Linked DNA regions of Coturnix japonica. The protein of the gene in region 3 interacts with the protein of the main gene of each other region in a biochemical or structural test. Links are inferred from orthologs where the notes say so. Each region holds a gene or a part of one and is shown on either strand. Other genes may lie near its edges.

Region 1 (4,096 bases), on a different chromosome or scaffold from region 3:
GGTTTTGGTTTAAGAAATGAGGCACAGCCGCTGCCATGCATTTGCTCTGAGACTGCTATAGATCTGGCACTCGTTACTGGCCTGGACCAAAGGCACATGCTGCTAAGTGATACAAAGGGTCATAGAGCCCTTTAGGAATCCAGAGGAACAGCTTGGAAATTTGGCACCGGACTTTGCTGTCTCATCTGCACGTTCCTGGAGGGAGCAGCCCCACGGGGCACTCACCAAAGTTGGAGTCCTCGCCCAGCTCCCTGCCGTAGCGGATCATGCAATCCCCCAGCAGCCCTTCTGACTGTGGATAGCCTGGGCTCTTCACCTGCCCACGGATCTTCGACATTGTGTTCAGCATGGATAGCTTGGCTCTGGAAGCTGGCAAAGAAACAGCCACAGCCGTGTTTGTAATTGCTTGGACTTGCCAGCAGCTGCTGGTCACTGCCAGCACTTCACTTTTTTTAAGTGACTCCCAAAGCCAAGAAGTGCTATTGTCATAATCTACCAGAAATATCACTTGCTACGAAAAGTAAAGTTTCTTTTCCAAGGCAGCAAACAAATATAGATCCCTACAGCTAACTGGTGAAGGCCAAAGGAGTTTCCCCAGCCCTCCCATAGTCCCTGGAGCATTCTCTGAACAAGCTGCTTGGAAACACACAGGGCAGCAGGCTCTGGAGGTGGTGGTTACAAAGCCAACCGACTCTTCCCAACCCAGAGATTATATTTTTTCTGGACACCCTGGTAAAAATAGGTCCCCTCCAGATCTCTCCTAGATCCAACGTTAAAGATTTGTCTGTTTTATTCACTGTTTGACAGCAACAGCAGTGTCTTTCAGCCCAGAAATACATCACTGGTCGAGATGGCTTTACAATCACAAAGCACCTGTGAGCTAGGGTAGGACCTCATTAGGCTCAGACTATTAGGAAAGCCACAGGAAATGTACAGGACAGCCCAGCATACATCAGGTAAAGGTAGGCAGAATACCTGATAACAAATATGGGCTTGGTGGCACACCTCAAGGTCGTGAAGTTTCTCTCTGAGGTCTCTCTGCACCTTCTGCCTATTTCCCTCTTACCCTCTTTGGGAGGCAAAGGATAGGAGAGGTCCCACCACTCACCTGGGTTTGGCTGCAGGTATTCTATTGTTCTGGCCAGTACTTCTGTAACTGCCTTGCTGGTCACATCCACTTTCTGTAGGAAAACAAGATGATCCAGCAGCAGTGAAGATCAGTTCAGGATTTTGGCAAGGTCACAGAAGGTGACATGGGTGATTTTAGGGATTTCTCCTATCTCTTGCTCACCTTTTCCATTTCCCTGAAGTCATCGTCAAGTTTGGTCCCTTCTGCCCCTCCAACCTTTTCACTGACAAGCTGCAGAAAAAGAACAAGGCAGGAAGAATCAGGCATGGTAGTGGCTGTTTACCTCATGCAGAGAGGTATAGAGTCCTGGGGATGGAAAGAGAACAGGGGTGGTCCAGACAGCGCCTGCAAGAGAAAGGAGGCAGTAGGAACAGCCCAAAGCATGGTAACAACACGTGGCTCTTTGCTAACACTGTCCCATTAAACAATCTAAATGTCCCCTACCCTCCCAAGGCACCACAGCTGAACCTTCAGACATAGGCAGGATATTCCCCACCTGGCAGAAGCTACAAAGCTCTTTAAATTCATAAGCACAGCTCCAACTCCAACGCTTGCTGGGAAAAGCAAGCAACAGCATTGTCTCTCAACTTTAATTTCACACAAGGCAAAATGCAAGTAAACAGGGAATTAAGATACTCTGCTTGCAGCAGCCAGTACAAGAACTAAGCTCAGAAAGAACCACTCAAAGCCTTAAACCACAACTCCTTGCAATCCAGATGGTGAGAGCTTAGGATCTAGGGCTCTGTATTTCAAGATTTTTTTAAAGAGAAGGATAAAGAGATTTACAGAAGCTACAGGAAAACGTTCAGATCCAATTATCAAGGTATCTCTGACGTCTGTTCTAAAACAAAGTGAACACGAGATGTTTGACACAGCTGGAAAGGCAGGGTTGCTTTTGGCTATCTGCATGAAGGGCTTATCGGCTTGCTTCAAAATGCCATTTAGTGTAAGAAAAGACTTCTTCCCAAAGCTTCACCATTCGCCTTCCTGAGCTCAAAGACGTGTGTCAAAAGTGCTTTATTAAATCCAACTGAAGAAGTGTCCTTCCATGCAACCCAAATGGAGGGGGATATCTCCTGCCCTGTTCCCTCGTGGCAAGGCAACACCTGGGGTTCAATAGACTGGCCAGAGCTACCTGCAACACATCCACAAGCAACTGCCAGGCCCCAAAATGGGTCCGTGCACACTAAATTACCTCCACAGATATCAAAAGTGGTCTAGGAAATGGCTGCTGCCTCCCAAGCTCTTGATGCCCGCCACAGGCCATTGCCAGGATTCCTCGTGCTTGTAGTCAAAACTCCAGCTCTGGACAAACAATGAAGGTTTGTTTACTTCAACATCAAATACCTGATTTTATCAAGTCTTTCTTCCTGTGGTGCCCATGGGGACTCAGTGGTTCCTTAGTTGTTAGAGGACAAGGAGAAAAAAAAACTCTTTAGGCAAACATCCAGTTCCAAATGCACTTAGAGATACCCCATAAGGTCCGTGTGACTGCACTCACTGGGCAGTGCTTAGTTCCAAAATCAAATGATGAGCTGCAAACCAAGGTGTTGGGCTGAGCACTGACTGCTATGGCTGATATGCTCCTCGTGCCTCAGTGGATGGATATCTGCAGCTGCTCAGAGCTTCAAGGCACGCAGACATTACAGGGAAGAGGCTTAGAGAGCAGACAGCTCTTCTGAATGACAGCTCTGCACTGAGCAACAGTAGCATAAATCATCCCAAGGCCAAAATATCCTTTTAGAGCAAGAGTTTGAAAGAACTGAGATAGAAGGCAGCAGCCTTTCAGGGCCTCACTTCACCTGGGCAAGGGCTTTTTTCTCTTTCTGGGGACCTCAGATGTTTCACAAAGAGATCGCTGTGGTTCCTCTGGGCATTTAAACACTGGGGTCAGTGCTCTCCAGGTTCATCCAGCCCAGCTCTCAACTCTGGATTTCATTTTCAGATGGATGCCCAGATGGATCTTCACACATCCCTCTGTGTGTGCAGCCTCACAGTGGTCCATGCACAGCCCTCCTGACCTCACCAGCTTTCTTTCCAGCACCTGAAAGAACATGGGAAGTGCAGGACTATGGATTCAGAGTGTGCCAGGAGGCAATAGGGGCTCCAAGGGGTGTTATCACTGCAGAGCTGCCTGCAGATGGGCAAACAACCAAAACTTGAATTCTTGCTTTTTTTGGATCTTTGCTCTGTGCTTGGGGTGCCAGCACACACTTCTGCCTGCCAGCTCTGAGCTGGGGAAGTACACATTCCTCTATGGAGCAGGGAAAATAAACCACAAAGCGGTTGCTCTGCTTTCCAGACCCTGTGTGGGCACTCACTCCCAGCTGCCACCACCCACTCTTGTGCTTCTATGCCAAAAGACAGCTCGCTATGCAGCCTCCATGACCAGAAAGGGGCTTCTACACAGCCCAGAGCAGCACCTCCAGAAAGATCCTTCCCTCTGCAATAAACCTGAGAAGAGTACAATTAAGTGGAGTAATTCCATCCCTGCTTTTCTCCACCCACCCACAGATTGGCAGCCCAGAAAGCTGCAAATACTGCCTCTGATGGGGAGCTCTGCCATAATCAGGGACTGCATGCCATGTTGTACACGGTGATCACCACAGTGATTTTGGAGGCTTAGCACTCTCTCAGAGAGCACAGAGATGTGAAGGAGGAAAATTCGCTTGCAGGCTAATTTAATCCTCCTTTTGACATCCAAGAAATGCTACTGGTGCCCTGCTGTGAAGGAAGAATAAGACTGAGGTTTTCTCCCTGCTGGCTCTAATTAAGCTACGAGGCTTCATCTCAGGAGGAAAGAAGGAGGGACTGTGTGCCATCTCCATTCCAACAGTCCCAAATCTGCCAGGCAAGAGGACAAACTAATGCAAGTTCCCTCCTTTGCCAGCAAGGATGTGAGCCAGGGACATGGCCAGCTTAATGTTAGCCCACAGCCGTCCCTACTGGAGAAGGGATCTGATCAGT
Region 2 (4,345 bases), on a different chromosome or scaffold from region 3:
TTCAACATTTGTCAGCCTCATTTCTTGTAATTTTGAAGGAATTTTATGATTACAGACTCACTTTTGTTTTCACAAACTCAGGAATATTTGTTCTAAACTTTATGATGTTTCACAGAGGTAAAACCATCCATGTTTTTTTTTGTCTAAAATCCAAATGGGGTGAATATGCCATTCACTCCATATGGAGCAAAGCTACCACCTGCTTCCCAATGATGTACTCCTGAAGCAGTTAGTGCAAGGAATTTGACAGACATTAAGGTCTTCAATATGATTTCTGTTGTGAAGTGGCATTATTTAATGCAGGTGAGCCTGACCTTTCACAAGTCAAATATGTATTTATATATATATATATAAAATCAAAACACTTGCTTAGCAATTAAACAATCTAGACATAGGAGTCATACTATTTCAATTTCTGCCAGGGACTTATTGCCGAAATAGCATTTTTTTAACATTTAAATAGTGAGACAAATCTTTCACAACTGAAAGAGTATTCTGTAATAATAACATTGTATACTCACAATGCACTCGTGTGTAAAAGGACTACTAATTTTACAACATAAAAGGATGAAAGAAACTAAGCCAAAGACTTCCAAATGCTTTACTGAATTAAAAGGAGCATCAGAAATAACTTGAAATTGTTACAGGTGTGACTTAGGACTGCAGTACAACTGTGCATCATACACAAGTTCTTACATGTCTAAGAATGATGGGAAAGATTCAGAGTCTTTAAAACTTCCAGTTTGTTTCATCCCATCTGGGAATCTCCATTCACAGTGGCAATGCCTATCCATACTCTGCCTGGGGATCAATCCATTATCAGAAGGATTCTCCCAGGGGTAAGGACAGCACAACCAAGGCCTGGATTTCTCACTCATGCTTAAAACAAGCCAATAAACAGATCTGTCTTGCAACCTACTTGTGAGTCATTCTCATACATGAATGTGTCTTCATGCCCTGCATACAAACAGTCTGTGAAAGTCACGGCTGGGCCCAAAAATCCCTGGGTCATTTGATAGCAGGCTGCTAAATCTGGCATCAGCAATATACTATTTTGGCTCCAGCCAGCTAAAACTTTTCTTTCCTTCTACATGGCAATACTGCTGACAGTCCATGTGAGCATGTCATCTGAAGGACAGAACAGCACTCACAGACCATTCTCCCTCTAAAAGGGATGTGCACCCTGCTGCTGCAGAGGCACATTCATTAACTTACAATAATGGTGAACTGAGGCACGCTACTAGAAAGTAAACTTCAGATTGCCTATTTCTTAACTCTGGATGACACAGATCCTGCAATTCTTACTTATCAGTGTGAGAACTCAAATAGCAGTGATGATTTCTGGGCTTGATATAGGTAGCAGAGAGTGATAAAATGAAGTAGCAGCAGCAGATGGACACTACAGTATGGGCTCAGGCACACTTAAAAACTCCTTACTGCATCTGTCATGAGAACAGCAGGTTTCTGTGAAGTCTGTTTTACCAATGATGCAATGTAATTTGTTATGAAAGGTGAGACACAATGTCACCCTGCTCCTGCACGGGCCTGTGGAGGACTTGGCACATCCCACCGCATTTCTAGTCAGAATGGGTATGGTATAATTGCAAAGACAGCAAGAACTAAAGTTGGGACTAATTCTTGTGTAAGGGTTCATTCCTTTAGGTGCATCTCTCCACATTGCAGCAACAGATGAGATGAAAGAGAAGAGATGGATGAGAAAGGAAAAAGCGTAGGTGTTGAAAAGCCTAATGGCTGCTGTATCTGCAAGTCTGCACCTAGGGGCTGCTTACAGCAACATACACTGCTACCTGAAGATGTAATGACAGTCAGTGAAAATTACCAGGAGTTCTGTGCTCACTTGCAAAGAAAATAATGGAGCTTCACGCAAGACTTGGACTACAGTCTGTAAATTCAGATAAATTTCCCAGGCTTCTACAAAACCATTTTGGATTCATCCCCAGAACACACCAAGTCTGAGCCCAATTCAGGAACTGTACCCTTACAGACTACAACATACAGACTCTGCATTATGAAACAAATCGCAGCCGGGTGAAACACCCACCCTGACCTCCTTGCAATAACACACCATGCCTAAAGCAACACGACCAAATCTCATTATTCAGATTTTGTCTGTAACCTAAGTGGGTTGGGGGGTGGTGAAGGGAGGGTAGTTGGGGGGGGGGTTTAAAAATAATTTAAAAGGTCTGATTCAGAAAGCCAACCTAAAACCGTTCTGATGGAGAACCAGTGCACAGACCGCAGAACGGGTCCGACGCCCACGCGGGCACCTGCCCCAGCAGCCGCTGCGCCAGTCAGTCCCTGCGAGACCGGCACCCGGTGCGGCTGGGGCGGCGGAGCAGCCTGCGGTGCTCTCATTCATGCCCGTGTATTCTCACGCACCGCGCACACACACACACCACGCACACCCGTGCACGCACGCACCCGTGCACACTCACACCACGCGCACCCATGCACACGCGCAGCCCACGAGCGCCCGTGCAATCGGATGCGGGCTGGGCAGCCGGACTGAGTCCAGCGCCGCGCATCGGACTGCGCCACGCTGCCGCGCTCCACGCACCCGCGCACGGCCCCAGCGGCGCGGGGGGGACCGAGGCGGTACCTGGGTCGCTTTATGGAACTGCTTCTTGAGCCCGGCCACCGACATGGCGAGGGCGGTGCGATGCAGACGAGAGGAGCCGAGCGGAACCGAGCGGCGCCGAGGAGCGATGGGGCTGGTCCCGCCGCCGAGGAGCTGCTGCTGCCGCTGCCCGCTGCTCGCAGCCCCGCACGCCCGGCGATGGGAGGTGTCAGGCGGCGGCCGCGCTGCGGGGGGGCCCTGACGTCAGGGCTGGCCGCACCGCCTCCCCGCGCAGCCCCGGGCCGCCCCCGCCTCGCCCCCGGCCCCGGCGGCGCTGAACGAGAGCAGCCTTGGCGCGGGCGGAGGCGGCGCTGCGGGACCCCGCCGGCATCCTAAGGGCCACTGCCGACGGTCCCTCCTGAGCAGTGTGGACCTCATCCCGTGCAGCCCCACGGGGACGCCGTTCAACCCGCCTCGACTGGGACGGTGGGCAGTGATGGACAGATAGACCTGGGGCCGGGGGATGCGGGTGTCGGCATGCCGTTTCTTCAGGCCTAGCTGGTCTCAGTGGGATGATGCCAGCTCTGCCTCCTTGTTGGCCCTCAGTATGTGTGTTCTTCTCCCCTTGCAATGCCAGTGACACACGGGCAGCCAAACATACAGCCTGCCCCACTGCTGGCACACTGGTGTGGCTGTTGGCTTGAAGGTAAAGAGCCTCAAACCCAAATAAATGTCAATAATGTGTGCTTTAGCAATTTGGTCAGATGTGCTATAAACACTAGCAGAACAGTAATTAGCAGTAATTATGAGGCTCTGCCAGGAAAAGCCTAAACAATGCAAGCAGTGTGACCCAAATGTAACAGCTCTTCTCTGCAGGCTGGGCCAGTCGCTGTGGATGTGTGCTGCATCTCAGCGCAGCTGGGATGAAAGCTTGCATCTGCTGAAAGCAGCCATGCTGCGCTGGCAGATCCATCCCCACTAACATCCCACAGCAGCTAGGTAGCACAGATCACAGGAGATGGGATGGAAACATTCTGAGAGATACCTGGAGCTGTTTTTAATCTGCATGTGGACTTACTGTGGTGTAGCACACATGCTTGGTGCACTTAAAGAAAACAGGCACTGTGAGGGCCCACATATCACCTCATACCATGAGGTATAGAATCATAGAATTACCCAGGTTGGAAAAGACCTCGAAGATCATCAAGTATGGGTCAGTGGTGACATCACAGCACCCAACTTTGAAGCACAGTTCTGAAAGGGACTGCAGCAGGAGAAAGGACTGTGAATGCAAATCACATTGGTGCTTTCAGAAGTATCACCAGCGTTGCTCAGCATGGAGAGTGGCAAAGAACATCTCTCTGCTTGTGGGGAGCAGACTGGAAGAGCATAATGGCTTCCTCGTGGGCACAGTAGGAGGCATTTGTTTCCGATCTAGTCCTGCACCAACATCAGAACACATCCATTCATTTTAGTTTTAGTATTAGCTTAGAGGATGAACACTGAGATGATATGGAGTGGAAGGAAGTTTCTTGTGCTAGTCATGGAATCATAGAAGATCCCAAGCTGGAAGGGACCCACAAGGATCATCAAGTCCAACTCCTGGCTCCACGCACATCCAAAATTCAGACTATATGTCTGAGAGCATTGACCAGACACATCTTGAACTCAGGCAGTTCGATGCCATGATCATTGCTTTGGAGAGCAGTCCTCAAAAGACTACATTCCAGTTTGTTAGATGTTTTGCATAGAAACTAAGGGACAACA
Region 3 (3,561 bases):
TCCCTTTCTGTTTGGCTTGTTGGCTGGATCGTCCCAGGCTGGTACTGCTCAGGTCTAGTCATGCTGAGGAGGTGGTTAGAAACACTGAGTGCCACTGCAGGCAAATCCCTGCCCCGGTCACAATGCTGTGCCGCAGCCAGAGAGAGGGGTGGAAGGTGCCAGCTCCATGCTGCCTCCGGTTACCTTCTTGGTGCACTGTCTAACGGTATTGATTAACTCCGAAATAACCATGTCCACGCATTTCAGGCAAGGCTCTTTAATCTTCTTCACCTGCTTTTTCACAATGGTCTCAAAGGCCATGTCGGGTGTGAAGAGACCGGTTCTAAACACCCAGGGTAGGGGACAAGACAAGGCAGGAAGGGGGGGGAGAAGGGGCAAGGAGAATGTCACGTTACACACGCATCTCAGTGTAGGCACCACCACCACTGAAACCCCGCACACAGGGCTGGGAGCATCACAACCCTCAGACCAGTCCTGGAATCCAGAATAAAAAGGGATGCTTGGCACCTCCCCAGAGGCACATGTAAGGGTAAAATGGATCCCAGTTGGACAACAGGCACCAGTCTCTGGTCACCTTCCCAGGAACGGCACCACTCAGTGACCCCGGACTGTGCTTTCTGGCAGTTAACCTTCACTTAGTGGGGATGAAACTGTATTTGCTGACTGTGCCCTAGGACTCAACCCCTGGGGCTGCTGGAATCCTGGTGATGGGAACCCTAAAGCTCCCTCTGATCTCCAGGGAAGGTGCTCAGGATCAGCAGCTGTTTTGAATGTTGGTAAAAATGGAAGCATAATGTGAAAACCAACGTTTAAAACTCAATTAAGTAGCAGTACAGGCCTGCATCCCTCAGTCCTTTCTTATGTAGAAACAAGGAGGGAGAAAACTAGTAACCACAGCTGCATTACCTTTTAGGCTTCAGCAGTTTTCATATGGGAACAGAAAGCAGCTACTTCATCCCTACTCCCAGATTCAAACCACCAGGGTGTCCAAGGAAGTCCTCTCCCTTATGGCTGACCTACCGTACCTCTGAAGTCTTCAACTCCATTGGGAAGGTCTAGAGGTATTTACAAGACTACGCAGCCAGTGGTCTGCCTAGTGCATGATACGTGCCTGATACCATGGATGTTCTTGATGGCGTAGCTGATCTCCCGTCTCAGCTCCTTCTCATCAAACTCCATCTGCACCAAGAGAGAGTTTTTATCAGAAACAGGCTGATGTTTGCACAACCCCAGCACACCTAACAGCACGCTCTACACAATAGGAGGTCCCATGCCAGTATTATGTGACAGGTGAATGTTAGCCTAGATGTCGGATGTAGAGTCCAGCCATAAAGCTTGTATTGCCAAAGCAGACATCCTGGACAAAAATGAACAGATAAGAATAGCTAAGGGCTTGCATTTACAGGTGCCAACCCTCCCAGCAGCTCCCAAGGAGCTACTTAAAGCAATAAGATTGAAGCACTAGATTGCTTTCCAAAACAAACTGCTTTGTCTCCTGAGGCTTAATGTGAGGTCTTGGCAGCTGTCTGCCAGAAAACACCTCCAAGAGATTTAAAATTCACATACAGAATTACATCATCTAATACAAGGCAGGCTCTTGTATTACACTAACAAGGAATTGTCATATTTAAATGAAAAAGGAAACAGCAAAATGCAGAAGATAGAGAAGAATGTTTTGGTTCTTAATGTTTTCAAACAGGCAATAGAAAGCAAAAGAAATATTAACCAGGGGGGAAAAAAAAAAAAGCAAAGTTATCTCACAAGGACAGGAATTAAGAGAGGAGAGTATTATGGGAAGGTTCCAACAACAGGAAGTAAAAATAAGGTGACAGCATCAAATGTTAAAAGGGAAAATAGATGGTGAAACATGTAAAAAGTAACAAGAAAACAGGTAGGAAAAGGTGAAAGCATACAGAGAAACAGTACCTTCACCAGCTCAAAGGGGAAACGTTCATGGAAGATGCGGTTAATCCTGGCTCCTCCTGACAACTCATAGGTATCAATTTGGTCTCCAGAGCCTTCAATGCGTTTCTCAAAGTCCACAGCAAACTGCTGGACCATCCTAAATGAAGACAGAAAGCAGGAAGTAGCAGACATAGCCAGGCAGGCTTTTCCAGGGAGGGACACGCAGTGAAGGGCACTCACTGAAGCAGAGCTTTGGTCTTGCGAGCTGGGTCGTCAGGGCGAAAGTTCTTATACTCCTCCACCTCCTTCTCAATGGAGAGCAGCTGGCTCTGCAGCTTGTTGCGCAGCCCTGGCAGGGTGTCACGGATGTGGTTGGTCAATTGCTGTGCAGGAAGAAGGTTTAGGATGAAATTGGGAGAAATTTGCTATGACGCTATCCCAGAATAAAGGGCACAGTGGGCAGCAGTTCTCAATTGGTGGTGGTACCTGGTTCAATACTTTCTGCAGGTAGGGGGTTCCCATACGATCAGCCATGTGTCTGTAGGCTGGGTGGGAGAGAAAGAACTTTCTCTCTGCAGCCAGAGCTGCCTGAATGTCCTTCTTGCCATCAATGTCCTTCTGACTTCTATTGACTACACCAATGTAACCTGCAGGGATGGCATTAAAGATCAGGCAGTTACAAGGATGAAAATGTAAGTGGGGCTCAGGTTGAGAAGGAAACTACCCAGGAAACAACACTGCAAATGGGAAATCTTAAGGACAACACATCTGGGACCAAGCAGAAGAGTTTAAAACTGGAATTCCCTGGTATACAGGACAGAAATGCCACTATGCAACTGAGAATTAGCTTTTTGATCACTGCTCCCCCAGTCACTAAGAACACCCTATTTCCATTCAGGACTTCTCTGTTCATGTCCTTAGGACAGGTATTCCACTATGGTTATGTACAGCACATAGCACAGCACAGGAAATGTGATTTCACCTGAAGCACTACAGTAATCCCATCAAATAAGAGACTTGGGGTGCGGGGGGAGAATAGTACAGGAATCCCATTTTTGCAGCTTGCCTATTAAATATAATGAAGAAAGTAAAGATAAGAGCACGGGGTTATGCTCCTTCTAGCACTACCTATCAAGATACAAATACCTAAAAATTACTTTTCCTTAAGCATGACTCATGCCCATTCCCCAGCTTCTCAATTCTGACTTGGAACAGAGCTGGCTTAAGAACACACCATAACAGATGTTCCAGGAACCCTGAAGAAAAGGAATGAGGCAAAGATACCAAATATAGGGAAAATGAAGGAAGATCATGCACAGAGCGTGAGGAAACGTACCTCTGCGAAGAGGAAGTAATTTATTTTCTAATACATCCCTAGCATCAGTTCCTTCATCCATAAGATCCAGCTTAGTGATGACTCCAATAGTACGTTGCCCTTAATAAAAGAACAAGTAAAATATGATCAAGTAAAACAGCTGTGTAATACCTTCCTTTGTTCAGAAAGCTTACAAACTGCCCAGCTTGGCTACAAGGGCTCTTGGGCACAAATGTCACAGTTCCCATAATAGCCAAGAGGTCACAACAGCACCAGGTAACAGAGGTCAGTTCCCAGCTATACCCTGTTCAGACACTCCTGTTTTTTACCACAGAGATGGA

The links. The genes of interacting proteins can lie anywhere in the genome.
Region 1: the proteins of DNM1 (region 3) and SH3GL1 form a complex in vitro, tested with the Homo sapiens proteins (2 studies listed by BioGRID and IntAct, with this or other methods). The link is inferred for Coturnix japonica from reciprocal best matches to the Homo sapiens genes DNM1 and SH3GL1.
Region 2: the proteins of DNM1 (region 3) and SH3GL2 form a complex in vitro, tested with the Homo sapiens proteins (2 studies listed by BioGRID and IntAct, with this or other methods). The link is inferred for Coturnix japonica from reciprocal best matches to the Homo sapiens genes DNM1 and SH3GL2.

The regions. Positions count from the first base shown.
Region 1 is NC_029543.1:1,611,415-1,615,510, forward strand, and holds the start of SH3GL1 (endophilin-A2), read right to left. Parts: upstream 2,812-4,096; 5' UTR 2,397-2,811; coding exon 2,325-2,396; intron 1,361-2,324; coding exon 1,292-1,360; intron 1,182-1,291; coding exon 1,109-1,181; intron 370-1,108; coding exon 226-369; intron 1-225. UniProt on the Homo sapiens protein: Implicated in endocytosis. May recruit other proteins to membranes with high curvature.
Region 2 is NC_029547.1:29,706,776-29,711,120, reverse strand, and holds the start of SH3GL2 (endophilin-A1), read right to left. Parts: upstream 2,812-4,345; 5' UTR 2,666-2,811; coding exon 2,621-2,665; intron 1-2,620. UniProt on the Homo sapiens protein: Implicated in synaptic vesicle endocytosis. May recruit other proteins to membranes with high curvature. Required for BDNF-dependent dendrite outgrowth.
Region 3 is NC_029532.1:3,788,255-3,791,815, forward strand, and holds part of DNM1 (dynamin-1), read right to left. Parts: intron 3,341-3,561; coding exon 3,242-3,340; intron 2,553-3,241; coding exon 2,392-2,552; intron 2,289-2,391; coding exon 2,146-2,288; intron 2,063-2,145; coding exon 1,927-2,062; intron 1,180-1,926; coding exon 1,112-1,179; intron 323-1,111; coding exon of another isoform or gene 184-322; intron 1-183. UniProt on the Homo sapiens protein: Catalyzes the hydrolysis of GTP and utilizes this energy to mediate vesicle scission and participates in many forms of endocytosis, such as clathrin-mediated endocytosis or synaptic vesicle endocytosis as well as rapid endocytosis (RE).